Oryzias latipes: one gene and its partners. The protein of the gene in region 1 purifies or fractionates together with the protein of each later gene. This does not show direct contact. Links are inferred from orthologs where the notes say so. Each region holds a gene or a part of one and is shown on either strand. Other genes may lie near its edges.

The links.
Region 2: the proteins of ap3s1 (region 1) and AP-3 complex subunit mu-1 purify together in Homo sapiens (co-immunoprecipitation; 4 studies listed by BioGRID and IntAct, counting the BioPlex papers as one, with this or other methods). This does not show direct contact. The link is inferred for Oryzias latipes from reciprocal best matches to the Homo sapiens genes AP3S1 and AP3M1.
Region 3: the proteins of ap3s1 (region 1) and ap3b1 fractionate together in Homo sapiens (co-fractionation; 5 studies listed by BioGRID and IntAct, counting the BioPlex papers as one, with this or other methods). This does not show direct contact. The link is inferred for Oryzias latipes from reciprocal best matches to the Homo sapiens genes AP3S1 and AP3B1.

The regions. Positions count from the first base shown.
Region 1 is NC_019867.2:7,077,821-7,081,433, reverse strand, and holds part of ap3s1 (AP-3 complex subunit sigma-1), read right to left. Parts: intron 1,934-3,613; coding exon 1,822-1,933; intron 1,746-1,821; coding exon 1,674-1,745; intron 1,315-1,673; coding exon 1,207-1,314; intron 1-1,206. UniProt on the Homo sapiens protein: Part of the AP-3 complex, an adaptor-related complex which is not clathrin-associated. The complex is associated with the Golgi region as well as more peripheral structures.
Region 2 is NC_019873.2:23,928,966-23,933,368, reverse strand, and holds the start of AP-3 complex subunit mu-1, read left to right. Parts: upstream 1-1,547; 5' UTR 1,548-1,738; intron 1,739-1,950; 5' UTR 1,951-1,955; coding exon 1,956-2,228; intron 2,229-3,324; coding exon 3,325-3,496; intron 3,497-3,590; coding exon 3,591-3,728; intron 3,729-3,815; coding exon 3,816-3,901; intron 3,902-3,993; coding exon 3,994-4,127; intron 4,128-4,403. UniProt on the Homo sapiens protein: Part of the AP-3 complex, an adaptor-related complex which is not clathrin-associated. The complex is associated with the Golgi region as well as more peripheral structures.
Region 3 is NC_019870.2:3,664,901-3,669,193, forward strand, and holds the start of ap3b1 (AP-3 complex subunit beta-1), read right to left. Parts: upstream 2,833-4,293; 5' UTR 2,506-2,832; coding exon 2,342-2,505; intron 281-2,341; coding exon 205-280; intron 1-204. UniProt on the Homo sapiens protein: Subunit of non-clathrin- and clathrin-associated adaptor protein complex 3 (AP-3) that plays a role in protein sorting in the late-Golgi/trans-Golgi network (TGN) and/or endosomes.

The DNA of each region.
Region 1 (3,613 bases):
TTTTGTCGGGTTAAAACAAACAGTGCAGCTCAGATTTTACAACTCTACAGTTAGCACACACAGCTGAACAGCCTCTAAAAAATCTAATAATACAAACATTGACTTTAAGCTTAGAAAAAACAGTGTTTTTTGGACTATAAGTCACACTTTTAGGAGGAATTTATTTAACAAAATACGGAAACAAAATCGGACATTTCATCTTGAAAGGCAAATCATAATAATGGAAGAGATAACAAATAATAGAATGAATATGTGCACGCTTCACTACCATAACCGTATTTAGCTCCATAAAACATAGGAGGAGTTGAATAAGTTTCTAGTATATTATCGCAGTAAATGAACAATTAATAAGATAACCGCAGCATGACAACAAGTCAGCTAAACCCTTTATATCACTTTAAATCCCTAAATCCTTTAAAGTCTTCATCTGTCAAGCTCGGAGTAAGACTGAGCGGCGTTTCTTCTGTGTTACGGTCAGTAGTAAATACTGACACACTTGCCTACAGTTCCCTCTAGCGGTTGATTTATAAAAAATCAAATGTAACTATTCTCCGAAAAATACGGTACACATTTTGTAAAGGGTCGTTTCTCAACAGGAAATAAAGTATTTGCAAAATGAATGTGCAGACATTACACAACGTGCTTGGACATATTTTTGACTCAGTTTATCGATCAGAGGCTCTAATCCACACTGAGCGTAGAAAAAGAAAACCATCATTTAGTGAAATTGTCTCTGGCTGTCTGTCTTTCCAATAGAGAAATGAAAGCGGATTTCTGACCGAAGCTGCATGGAAAACAAACAAATGTACTTGCAGAGCACAGATATCTGAGCGAAGACTTTGAAAATATCGGCTCAAGAAAAGAAAATCTAAATCTCCAAACTTTCCCCTCAACGTGATGAGTATGTAGCTGAATGTCATTCAATGGTAAGGAGGATTTAATGGTCACTGATTCTGGAGGTGAATTGATCTGTTTTTGTATATTTGGGTTAGAGTATAGGATCTACTGAGGTTTGAGCTGCGTTGAGAGCATAGAAGCAGTCAAAGAAGAGGCCAGAAAAGAGCACAAACACTTGAGAGAAGGTGGGGAGCATCCACAGAGTGACCAAGAGTAGCATGCAGAGTGCAGCGTACACACATGCCTGCATACTGTGCAACATTCCTCAGGGAGGCCGAGGAAAGAACAAAGTGACAGATAACCTCATACCTCAGCTTTCTCCATCTTGTTCTGGGCGTCCACCTGTGTGATGATTTCGTTCATGTTGGTCTCTAAGACCATTCCACCCATCACCATTTCAGCAAGAATATTGTGGACCTGCAGAAATAAACCCAAATTACAAATCATCAATCATTTAAAGTTTCTACAAGACTTCCCTGAGTTTCAGCTCGTTTCAAACAACACATTTTTTTTCAAACTTCCTTAATAAAATGAAAACAGGCTAAACTTCATTTTGGTTTAAAGGTTTCTCTATTTGTGGAGGCTCTAAAGCAGGTATGGTATTTATGGTTGACTCAAAAGTTCCTGCAGTTGCGAAACAGAAAGTCATCAGATAATAACAGGCAATAATAACTACGGGAAATTATTACAAAGAAAAAGGGTCAAAGGGATTGGTAGGCTGAAACAAACAGTCTAATAAACGTGTTACATCACAGAGAGGTGAAAGATTTTCCTACCTTGTCTACATGGAAAATTAAGTCAAGTTCACAGACGTTTTCAAAGCATTTGTCCAACGTTTCTACAAATACCTGACAAACAAAGGGAACAGTTAGAGAGAAGATAACTAAAGAGTATACATTCTTCTGAAAGTCCGATTTATTTTACCTGGATTAAGTCTAAAATGCCTAATTCGCTCTCTGAAGAGTCGACACAAAACACAAAGTACAGCGTGGCATAGTGTCTATAGATCAGCTTGTAGTCCGAACCCCCGATCAGCCTGGAACACAGAAAGAACACGATGACAGCGAAGGGAAAATATCTAGCAAACATTCTTGACGGCACATTTCCTGAAACTCTCTTCAGGTTTTATCACCATCTCTTGGAAAAGAGCATAAAATAGGTAATATTCTTTAAAACAAGCAGAAAAAAAAAACACTCTTATCAAAAGCCCAACCTAGTATAATAAGGTACCGTAAACATGTTACGACAGAATTTTGAGGGAGCAAAAAAAAACAGGATGTTTTCAGTCAGGCGTATAAAGATTGCCCACAATATATCCGAATAGCTGGAGATAAGACGGGAAGAGATAAAGCTTGTAACTGGGTTGGACAAGAGCTCCTCAACTGTTTTCTTCTCTCACAAAAAGACTTGTAACTTTTGAGAACTCACTAAAGAGAAAATCCAGTGTTTTTTGGAGTATTTGTTTGCTAAACCTATGTTTTTTTATTTATTATTAAGTGTTTATATAATTTGTCTGAAGTTTTTCATTTTATTATAAAGAGAGAGCAAGAAAAGAAAAAAGCTTTTAAGCCAACAAAGCAAAGCGTTGCAACTCAGATTCTTGTAGACCCACTCTGATCATCTTTTAATCTGTTGTTAAAGCGTTCCCAGTGAGAGTGGTCTTTTCATTATGATTATGCCGTTTTCTAGGACATAGTTTCAGCAGAGCGGCAGGAGTTCACCCCAACCTAACATGATCGGTGCAACAACAAAGGGAGAGAAGTATTGGAGATGTCCAGTTCTGAGCCAGATAACAGCTCAGACGAGGAAAACAAAGATGTACATGGATCTATTCATCTACAAGAGGATGCATCAGAATGAAGTGGAGCAGTCGTATTTTCTACATCACAACTACAGTGTTCCTCCGCCAATTCGGGTTTCAATATTCGCTGTTTCACGTGTTCGCAGATTCCTTTTTTTTTTTTTTTAATCACGTGACTCCTCTGGTTCGTCACAAAAGCTCAGACAACTCAAGATGCTTGTATGAGACTTGTGCTGCGGGAATTTCTAAGGAGGGGAGCGGGGAGATGAAGAGCCAGCTGGCCAGTCGGCCTCCCCCCGGCTGCGGAAGAATATTTCCCAGCGAGCAACAGCTGGTTCCAGAATCGCTATAACCAAAGTTTGTGCCCCAATGGCATCAGCTGACTCAAAAGCAGCTTGAAAATATCCTAATACGCTGAGGAAGTATAATTATCATCTGGATGAATGAATGATGGATGAAACCAACCTCTTCTGGAAGAAGATGCCCTTTGGCACTTAAGGAAGTACGGGCTCCTGCTTTCTAGGCATAGAGAAACAGACTGGCACTCCTAATGTGCATTATAAAGTACGCTACAGTACAGTCTATTACTCTGAATGACTAAAAAAACCATGTTGAGCAACGTTCTTTAATAAATGTTTCACAGAGTATCAGAAATGTTTCAGAAGGGTTTTTGATGAGTTAAGATTGCAGCATATTGGCGGAAGTCTCTGGTCCCTAACCTCCACGAATACGCGGAGAAAACTGTTCAATCTTTTTCAAACAGCATCTTTTTCATCTGCTCCCGATTCACAGCAATTTGAATTAACAAATACTCAAAGATACAATTTTACGCCCAATGATCTTAATATATGTCCATCATTAGAAAAATGCTACAATAACATTTAAAACACCATAAAAAAATCCTCAGAGTGGGTC
Region 2 (4,403 bases), on another chromosome or scaffold:
AGGGTCTAATCATATTTGTAGTATAAATCCATCTGTTTTAAGATATATTTCCTTTTTCCTTCCCCATAATTTCTCCATCTCAAAGTTTTCTAATAACCCTTTTTTACCTAAAACAACAACAACAACAACAACAACAGTAAATGTATAACTACAATCACTACTCCATATGCCATTTGTCTCCCATTTTATTTTCATCCTCAATAGTTGTACGCCCTTGTATTTGTTCAGTGTACTTCCTGCAATTTCATAATAAACGTTTCTATAGTCTGATACTCGTTGCACATTTTATAGTTAGATATTTTCCAATGATTGAATGATTGTAACTCAGTTGCATGTGGCCAAACCTGCATTCAAGTCTTTGACCCTTGCATCTAATTTTCACCATAACCCTTCCTCCTGCCTCCTCCTCCTAACTTTGATACCTTTTTTTTTCTTCAAAAATGTAAAAACAACATAAATAAAAGTAGCTATTTAATCTATAAAGCTGAGACAGATGATAGGTTTTAACTGCTGTTCTGTAGGTACTGGGTGTATATAATGTCTGATTTGAGCAATTAATTCAAAGGAATTTTGAGGTTTAAAGCCAAATGTAGTTTAATGAATGTAATATTTTGTTAATAAAATCAGGAAATGTAACCAATAAAATTGTGAAGTAACTTTTCATAATCAGTAAAACCATACAGGATCTGTTTTTCCATGTCAGGAAGAAATCGAGAAAAAATTGAGTCATTATATCATACTGACAATTACTTCCAAACTAATTTTTTGTGATCATAGGTCGAAATTAAATATATGAATGTTTCTTCACATTGTTTACAAAATCTACCCCCCCCCCATATTAATCCTTTTGTCTTTGCAATTATCTTTCGAAAATGCAGTCGTATCAAGGAAGTTTGTTGTTTTCCCTGGGTAGTGACTTGTAGGTAAGTTGTTGCTGCCATAGACAGTATGGTTCCTGCCCAACTCAGTTTAACGAGGAGCTGTAGTAGTTATAGGTGCTACTTTTTCTAATCATATACATACAATAAAATGGTGAATAAAACTTCGGAAACTTCCAAATACTGTCATTAATTGTGTTATACCATGGGGAAATGCGTACGTTTCACAACAGTACACGTTAAAATGCCATCAAAATACAAAAAATCATATTGAGTTTTCCAAATAGTTTTTCTTTAAAAATTTGTAATATTCTAACAAAACCTTTCCACACAATAATGCTGACATACAACAATGGATTAGCTATTTTAAAGAACACCGAAAACTGAATGGTCTGATGCGCGGCTTAGATCGTTGTCAAAGGTTGCCTGCAAAACTATACACCGGTTTTTTTAACCCACTGACTGACAACAATGAGAGCAAAACAGCTGTCCTCTGATTTTGCCTGATTAAAAATAAACCCACTAACTTTAAATAAAAAAATGGAGGGGAAGAATATTACACTTTATTAGATTATCGTGAATGCCACTTCAATAGCGTAAATATACCCGTTTTTCAACTATTAGTCTAGTAGCACAATTCAGTTCTTTCTGCTTACGTGTGCACATAGCTGTAGGCGTCCCCTGAGATGCCTATGAGATATACTTCCATATTGGCACCAACTGAGTATTCTTCCCTGTAGTTGAATCGAGTTTTTTCTTTTTTTAAAGCAAGTGATCTACAGCTAAAACTTTGTAAAAGCTGTAAAAATATTTCGCACTTTACATGTTGGTCTTCCTCTGACAGGATTAACGATAAGTTGGTAAGTATGATTCATATTTTTCTTTCTGTTATCTCACTCAGCACAATAAACTTTTAACTTTTCAGATAATATTTCAAAAGTCTTTTCATTTTTTTTATTTTTTACAAACTGTTTAGTTTAAGTTATTTGAATCATGTGACCGACATTGTGTAGTTATCGTGTGCCATCTGGTCTAAGAGAACCAACTCAAACAACAACGTTTCCTTCTGCAGCTGAGATGATCGACAGTCTGTTCCTGATTAACCACTCAGGAGACATTTTCCTGGAGAAACACTGGAAGAGTGTTATCAGCCGGAGTGTTTGTGATTACTTTTTCGAAGCTAAGGAAAAAGCAGTAGACCCAGAAAATGTGGCCCCTGTCCTGCAGACCCCACACCACTATCTCATCAGTATATACAGGGACAAGATCTTCTTCCTGTCTGCCATCCAGACTGAAGTGCCTCCACTTTTTGTCATCGAGTTCCTGCACAGAGTTGGAGATACATTCTTGGTAGTATTGATTTCTTACCTGAATGTCTTCTTTGTGATAAGTGTGTGCCAGATCTTAAGTGCTTCTAGTCAAGCTCTAGGAATAAGTTTCCTTCTTGCTGCACTTTCATGTAAGTATATAATATATATTAAAGATATAACTAAAAAGTCCTTTATAAGACATTCTTTGAGGCATTAGTTTGGCCAAATATAAGAATTTCAGCAGCAACCTTAACCTTGACTGCAGTTAGTATTTTGTGCTGACTTAAACCAGGGATCGTCTTTGGAATTATCATTTAAACCAATAAAAAAGTATTTTTATTTCAGACTCGAAGTGTAAATGTCAACACCATTAAAAAGAAACACAAGACATACAAAATAATTAAAATACAAGTGAATACACCAATTATAAACCTAATAAAGTGGCCAAACCAGTACCTCCAAATTGGGGACTGGTAATGCAAAGTGCTGTGCCTGATGTTGGTTAGGGTTAAAATGATTTTATTCTTGGAAGCGTTAAAGACGTTGTATAAAACCATAAATAAGATTACTTAAAAGAGCTTGGAGAGTGTTGACTCATATATCATACGTCTTTTTAATAAAATCCCATTATATACCCCATGCAGGCTAAATGGCTATGGAAGGATTTGTTAATACACGATAAAGATATTTTACTTTGTGACTTATGTTTTATTTTGTCTAAACTAAACTGTGTTTATGACGGAAATTGTCATGGGGCACTGTAAGAAATGTTGCTGAATGGGTTTCATGTTAAAAAAAGGAAGAATTGTCAGATTTCAGTTAATAGTAAATGTACCATGTGTACATGCAGGTATGGTGACAAAGCAGAAAAGGAAAAACACAAAAAATATCTTTGAAAATATTAAATTGATAGTTTTGTGTGCTTTAATGCAAATTAAAGGGATTTTATTAAATCTGCGATCCAAAGTAATATCAAAAGGCTCTTCAAGTGCTTAGAAGTACAGCACTCTCAATTGTGCTACACTCTTTCTAATAGAACACAGAACTTACGTTATTGCCCATATTGGTCTGCTGACGCTGCTCAAAGGGACAGCCACTGTTGTCCTTTCAGTAACATTTTTTTTTTTTTTTTGCAGGATTACTTTGGAGAATGTTCAGAAACTGTAATCAAGGATAATGTAGTGATTGTTTACGAGCTATTGGAGGAGATGCTCGACAACGGATTTCCGCTCGCCACCGAGTCCAATGTCCTCAAGGAGATGATAAAGCCTCCCAACATTCTGCGGTCAGTCGTCAATACACTAACAGGTAAACAAACGTCACAAGGAACATTGTGAACTTCTGGCTCTTTAAGTCACACTGAAGGGCAGCGTTAACATTACATTTCATTTGTTTTTTCCAGGAGGTAGCAATGTTGGAAACACTTTGCCAACAGGTCAGCTGTCTAATGTTCCATGGAGAAGGGCTGGTGTCAAGTACACAAACAATGAGGCATATTTTGATGTGATCGAAGAAATTGATGCAATTCTCGATAAATCAGGTACTTGAAAAGAAGAGAAGAATAAAGCAGTTGGTGGGAAATGCAGTTAAATGCACAGTAATACCGGTGACTTTGTTTACTGAACAGGGACAACAGTATTTGCAGAGATCCAGGGGGTCATTGAAGCTTGTGTGAGGCTTACCGGGATGCCGGATCTCACTTTGTCCTTCATGGTGGGCTCATTTCCCCCCATATCTGTATTTAGATCATCTGTGCACTTTTGTTCAAGTCTAAATTTTGCTCATTATTGATGTATTATTGACAGAATCCTCGTCTCCTGGATGATGTGAGCTTTCATCCCTGCGTGAGGTTCAAACGCTGGGAGTCGGAACGGGTTTTGTCTTTCATCCCTCCAGATGGAAACTTCACTCTCATGTCATATCAAGTCAGCTCTCAGAAGTAAGTGATTCATGGGGAGAGCAATGGGGTGACTAGGGCTGGCTATGGATTATGAGGAGGACTGCATATATGAAGATGTCATCCTATCCTCAGGTTATAAAAATTCAGAGCTGGATAAAAGTTTTCAACCACAAAGAAAATTACTTTCAATATACAGTTTAGCCTCTTAAAGCATAGTTTAAATTGGAGGTTGTTGCAATTAAATTTTGGCATAACTCTGTTCCTTTGTCATTTCTATGATTTTTCATAAACTTTATTTATAGTCAATTAAGGGTT
Region 3 (4,293 bases), on another chromosome or scaffold:
CATATTTTCTTAAAGATTGTGTTGCTGTTGAAAATCAGTTTTTGCAGTGTTTAATGAAATGTTTAGAAGACAAATCACAAACTGTTTTAGGGATTAAGAGTTCAGGGACTTCTAATGTAGAAAAAATGTTGTCTCCATGCATTCCAGGACATTCCAGGGCTCCAGTGCATTTGTTCCATCAGTTTCCTCCCATGATGCACTCACCCCAACAACCCTCTTCATGGCCTCCAGTTTGAGGGACTCCTTGTTGCTCTCCAGCATCTCTTTCAGGTCTTCATTCCTGAGGACAGACAAACACTTCTGGTTTTAACCGGTTGGACAACATTCTCATCAGTTTTGACCGTTCTCTGGACGGTACAATGAACAATGACTGCAACGGGGAGTTCCTGCCCAACAGCTTCACCATCTCCTCTGTTAAGGCATTACATCGCGCTCGTTCTTCAGGAGACACTGAATGCCTTCAACAGCAGCTTATGGCTTTGCTCAAGAGCACGGAATGACATTTTTATGACACAGACAACTTCATCCAGACCTATATTTGTTTGAGGCATAACATTTCTCAGTTATGTTATCACAGTTTTTCATTCAAATGACAGGTGACCATCACATCTCCAGGTGTACGGTGGCCTTAGTGGCCGTGTTCCAACCCCCTCGTTTCTCCGAGGCCCACCAGGGGTGGGGGAACTTTTTGACTAAAGGGTTCTAAAATTTGACAGGAGCAGATGCGTGGCGCTTTTAGGTAATCCACCTGACGGGCATGTCCAAAGTCCGGCCCGGGGGCCAAATGCGGCCCTCGTTCAAATTTCTACCGGCCCACAGTCTCCTGTCATAAGATCTATAATATGCGGGCCCCTCCGGCACTTTCTTCTGGCTAAATTACGCTCCACACTATTGTAAACCTGGGGCGACTTGACATTCAGAGCCTTAAGGGCCAAACTGATTCATTTGATTCTATGATCGAAAGCAGTGGTTTGTGCTTCTGAATAAGTTAACTATTTGTGTTATTTAGCTTTTTACGTGATTTAAATTCAGAACATTGAGCACTTAATAGTGACTAATGCTTACCACTTCATATGAACCCAGATTTAATGTTGACAAAAGGCTTTAATAACCAGACTCTCTCTTTATTCTATTTCCTGTTTTCAAATATGAAAGTAATTTTGGTAAAAATGTATTTAAAGACATTTCTGTTCTATGTGGGGAAATAAAAAGTATCTCAAAGTATCCCAAAGTATCCCGAATCTGGCTGTCTTTAGAAAAAAGTTTTCCAAGGGGTGTCCAAACAAAAAAACATTGAATCTGGACAAAAACATGGTGTAATTTTGATTGAAAATTATTAGCTATGTTAAAAAACATAGCTAATAATTTTGATTGAAAATTATTAGCTATGTTAAAAAACATAGCTAATAGCCCCCCCCCACACACACACAGACACAATTTGTGGCTTTTGTTCACATTTTAGTCTCAAATGCACCAATGGGTTGATGTCCCTCAAAGAAAAATGCAAACTTAGAGAAATGCTGCGTTCGTGTGGCATTGGAATTTACATTTCGGACTCAAAAAACACACGTGAACGTCAGAAATACAACAAATCTGCCAACACTACATGATGCAGCACAACTTCCTGCAGATAAAACAAAAGGTAAATATATTTGTACTCCACCATCTATGGGGAATTGCAGGGAAAATAAAACATTAATAAGGATTATCAGCATAATTTAATAAATTAAATAGTATAACGGGCCGCAGGTTGCCCATCCATGGAATTGACTCTGTAGAGTCCTAAACAGCAGCCATGGCGAAGATGCAGAATAAGTGGCTTCATATACAGGTGTGATTTAAAAAGTTTTAGTCACAGCTGCCCTTATGGTTAGACTGAGACCGTCTGCGAGCCAAAAATGGGCAAAACTGGAGGAGGCGGACAAAGAGCGCGCACTTATTGCGTGAACAGCACTAACAGGCGACTTGTGCAGCGCACAAGTTTGGTGGGGGTCAAACAAACGGCCGATTTCCCCCATAGCAGCTCTTATGGGGTATATAAATGTTCTCTATGACCCGTTACCGCAGCACACCCCTTAGAAACAAAATGCACACGAACATTTTTGCTCTACAGCCTTACCGATCGGTCTACGACCTTGACATTTCACCTGTGTGGCATCATTTTTCGCTCACTCTCAGCCCATTTCCACCCCAAGGGCAGTTCTGTCTAAGCCAAAAGGCACCAGGGAAACAGTAACACACCAGAATCATCAATATCGTGGTTCATTTATCAGAAAACGATTCTGGCAGAGAAGCTTGCATAGATGTTAGTACTCGTACATTCAGGAAAATACTGCAATACCCGGCTTTGTGCGTCTCCTTTGGTTTGCCGTTGGTGTGTGTGAGGGCCTGCTCTTCCTGACTGAGCTCAGGCTTCAGAGTGAGCTGTAAGCTCTCGGCAGAAGCCAGCATTGTCCTGACGGCTCCAGCCGCCTCAGACCGTAAAGAAGGGAAGCCGCGGTCCATACCAGCCGCCGTCCCCGCAGCGACTCTCCTGCAAGAGCTGGCTGGAAGTCCACGGATGGAAAGCTCAGCTCGTCTTCCCCCAGCGCTTTCTCGAATCAATCACAGCTGCTCAAAACTGGGAACTAAGGACAAAAACTGCACAGGCTGCACTGTGATTTGTGTCATTCACTTCCTCCCTTCCTCTTCTGCCAAAAAAAAAAAAAAAAAAAAGTCACAAGATACCCTGTCAACTCACAAACAGCAAGTCATCCTGATCCCCGAGGGCAACACCTCCTTCTCTCAGCTGGACTACGCTCATTCAGATGTTCCTCCTGCTCTGGAGATCCGGCTTCCTTACCTGCGTCCCTCCCTTCCTCCCTCCCTGCCTGGACATGTGACTGTGGTCACTTCCCTCCAGGGGAAAAAGGAGGCCCTTATCTCCTCCGGTGGGTAAACATGGAGCCACTTTTCATCACCACCTCTGCGCAATCACTAAGCGCATACCAAGCCTGGTTTGGCTGAAGAGGCGGGCAGGACAGGCCTCCATCAGGAGATAAAAGGTAGTGGGAATAATGTAAGGAAACAGGAGCAGAAAAACCTGCCTCCTTCCACTTCCTCTGGAGGGTTTGTTTGACCCCCACACCAACCCTCACTGACTCACAGGTCGATTTCCACGGCACAGGTTTCTCCTTCCCGCTCTGTGAGGAGACGTGTCTTCTGGGGGAAAGTTTATCCAGTTTTTAATGCCGTCCAGTTCTCGTGACCCTACAGTCTACTCACTGTGCAATTCGTCACATTCTTGATGTGAAAGAGGGAATTCAGACACATTCTTCTAACAATCTGACTCAAAGAAAGAACAACTGTGTAACGAGTGGAAAAAATAAGATTATTGCAGCTTATGCATCGGTGTGAGTTTGTCGATAAACTATAAAAACCCTCGAAAATCAATTAAAGTCCAACTCGGATCATCCTTTGATCTATTTTCAAAGCATTCTCAGTGGTTTTCATGAGAATGATTATGCCGCATTTAGACAAAATCAACAAACACTTGTGTCACTGGGACGTAGTTTCTGCAGGGCAGCAGAGCTCATCACGGGACTACTGGTTTAAACGCTCTACCAATAGCTCACAACCCCTCACACACCCATCCTAACATAAGCGCTGCAACAAAAATGGCGTGCAATATCGGGGCCATCCAGCTGTCCAGATTCCGGCTCAGACGAGGAAAACGAAGAAGTGCACGGATCTACGCAGCTACAAGTGGATGCATCGGAATGGAGCAGAGAGCTCGCTGCACTAACTTCTACGTCACACTTAGAATCTTTTTACAGCATTTTTTTTGTCTTCTACTGATTCACATAGATTTAAATATAGAAATTTCTCATTTCATTTTAATTTTCTTTGTATGTGTCCTCTATCATCAGATATTTGCCACAAAAATATGTGAAAAAAAACGCTGAAAATATCATTTTCATCAGAGCAAGTCTTTAAAGGGTCTATATCCTGAAAAATCTACTTTTTGAGTATTTCAGTGTATTATAATGTTAAATGCTCACAAAAAACAACCCCAAAGCGACATTTTGATTCGTTCACGTATTTTCTGAGTTTTTCGCTCCAAAACCTGCTCTCCAAGCAGTGGGGAATCGTGGGTGTAAAGTTCCTCACCATGACTGAGGAGGCTGTGAGCAGAAGTGACTTCCATGCTGTTTGGCTGTTTGTGCTTGTGGTCAAATAATTAGGCTGTAATGCTGGAAAGGAGAATATGGAATCTGTGTTTGCTTCTTCCTCTCTGAGACTGTTGGAGACGTG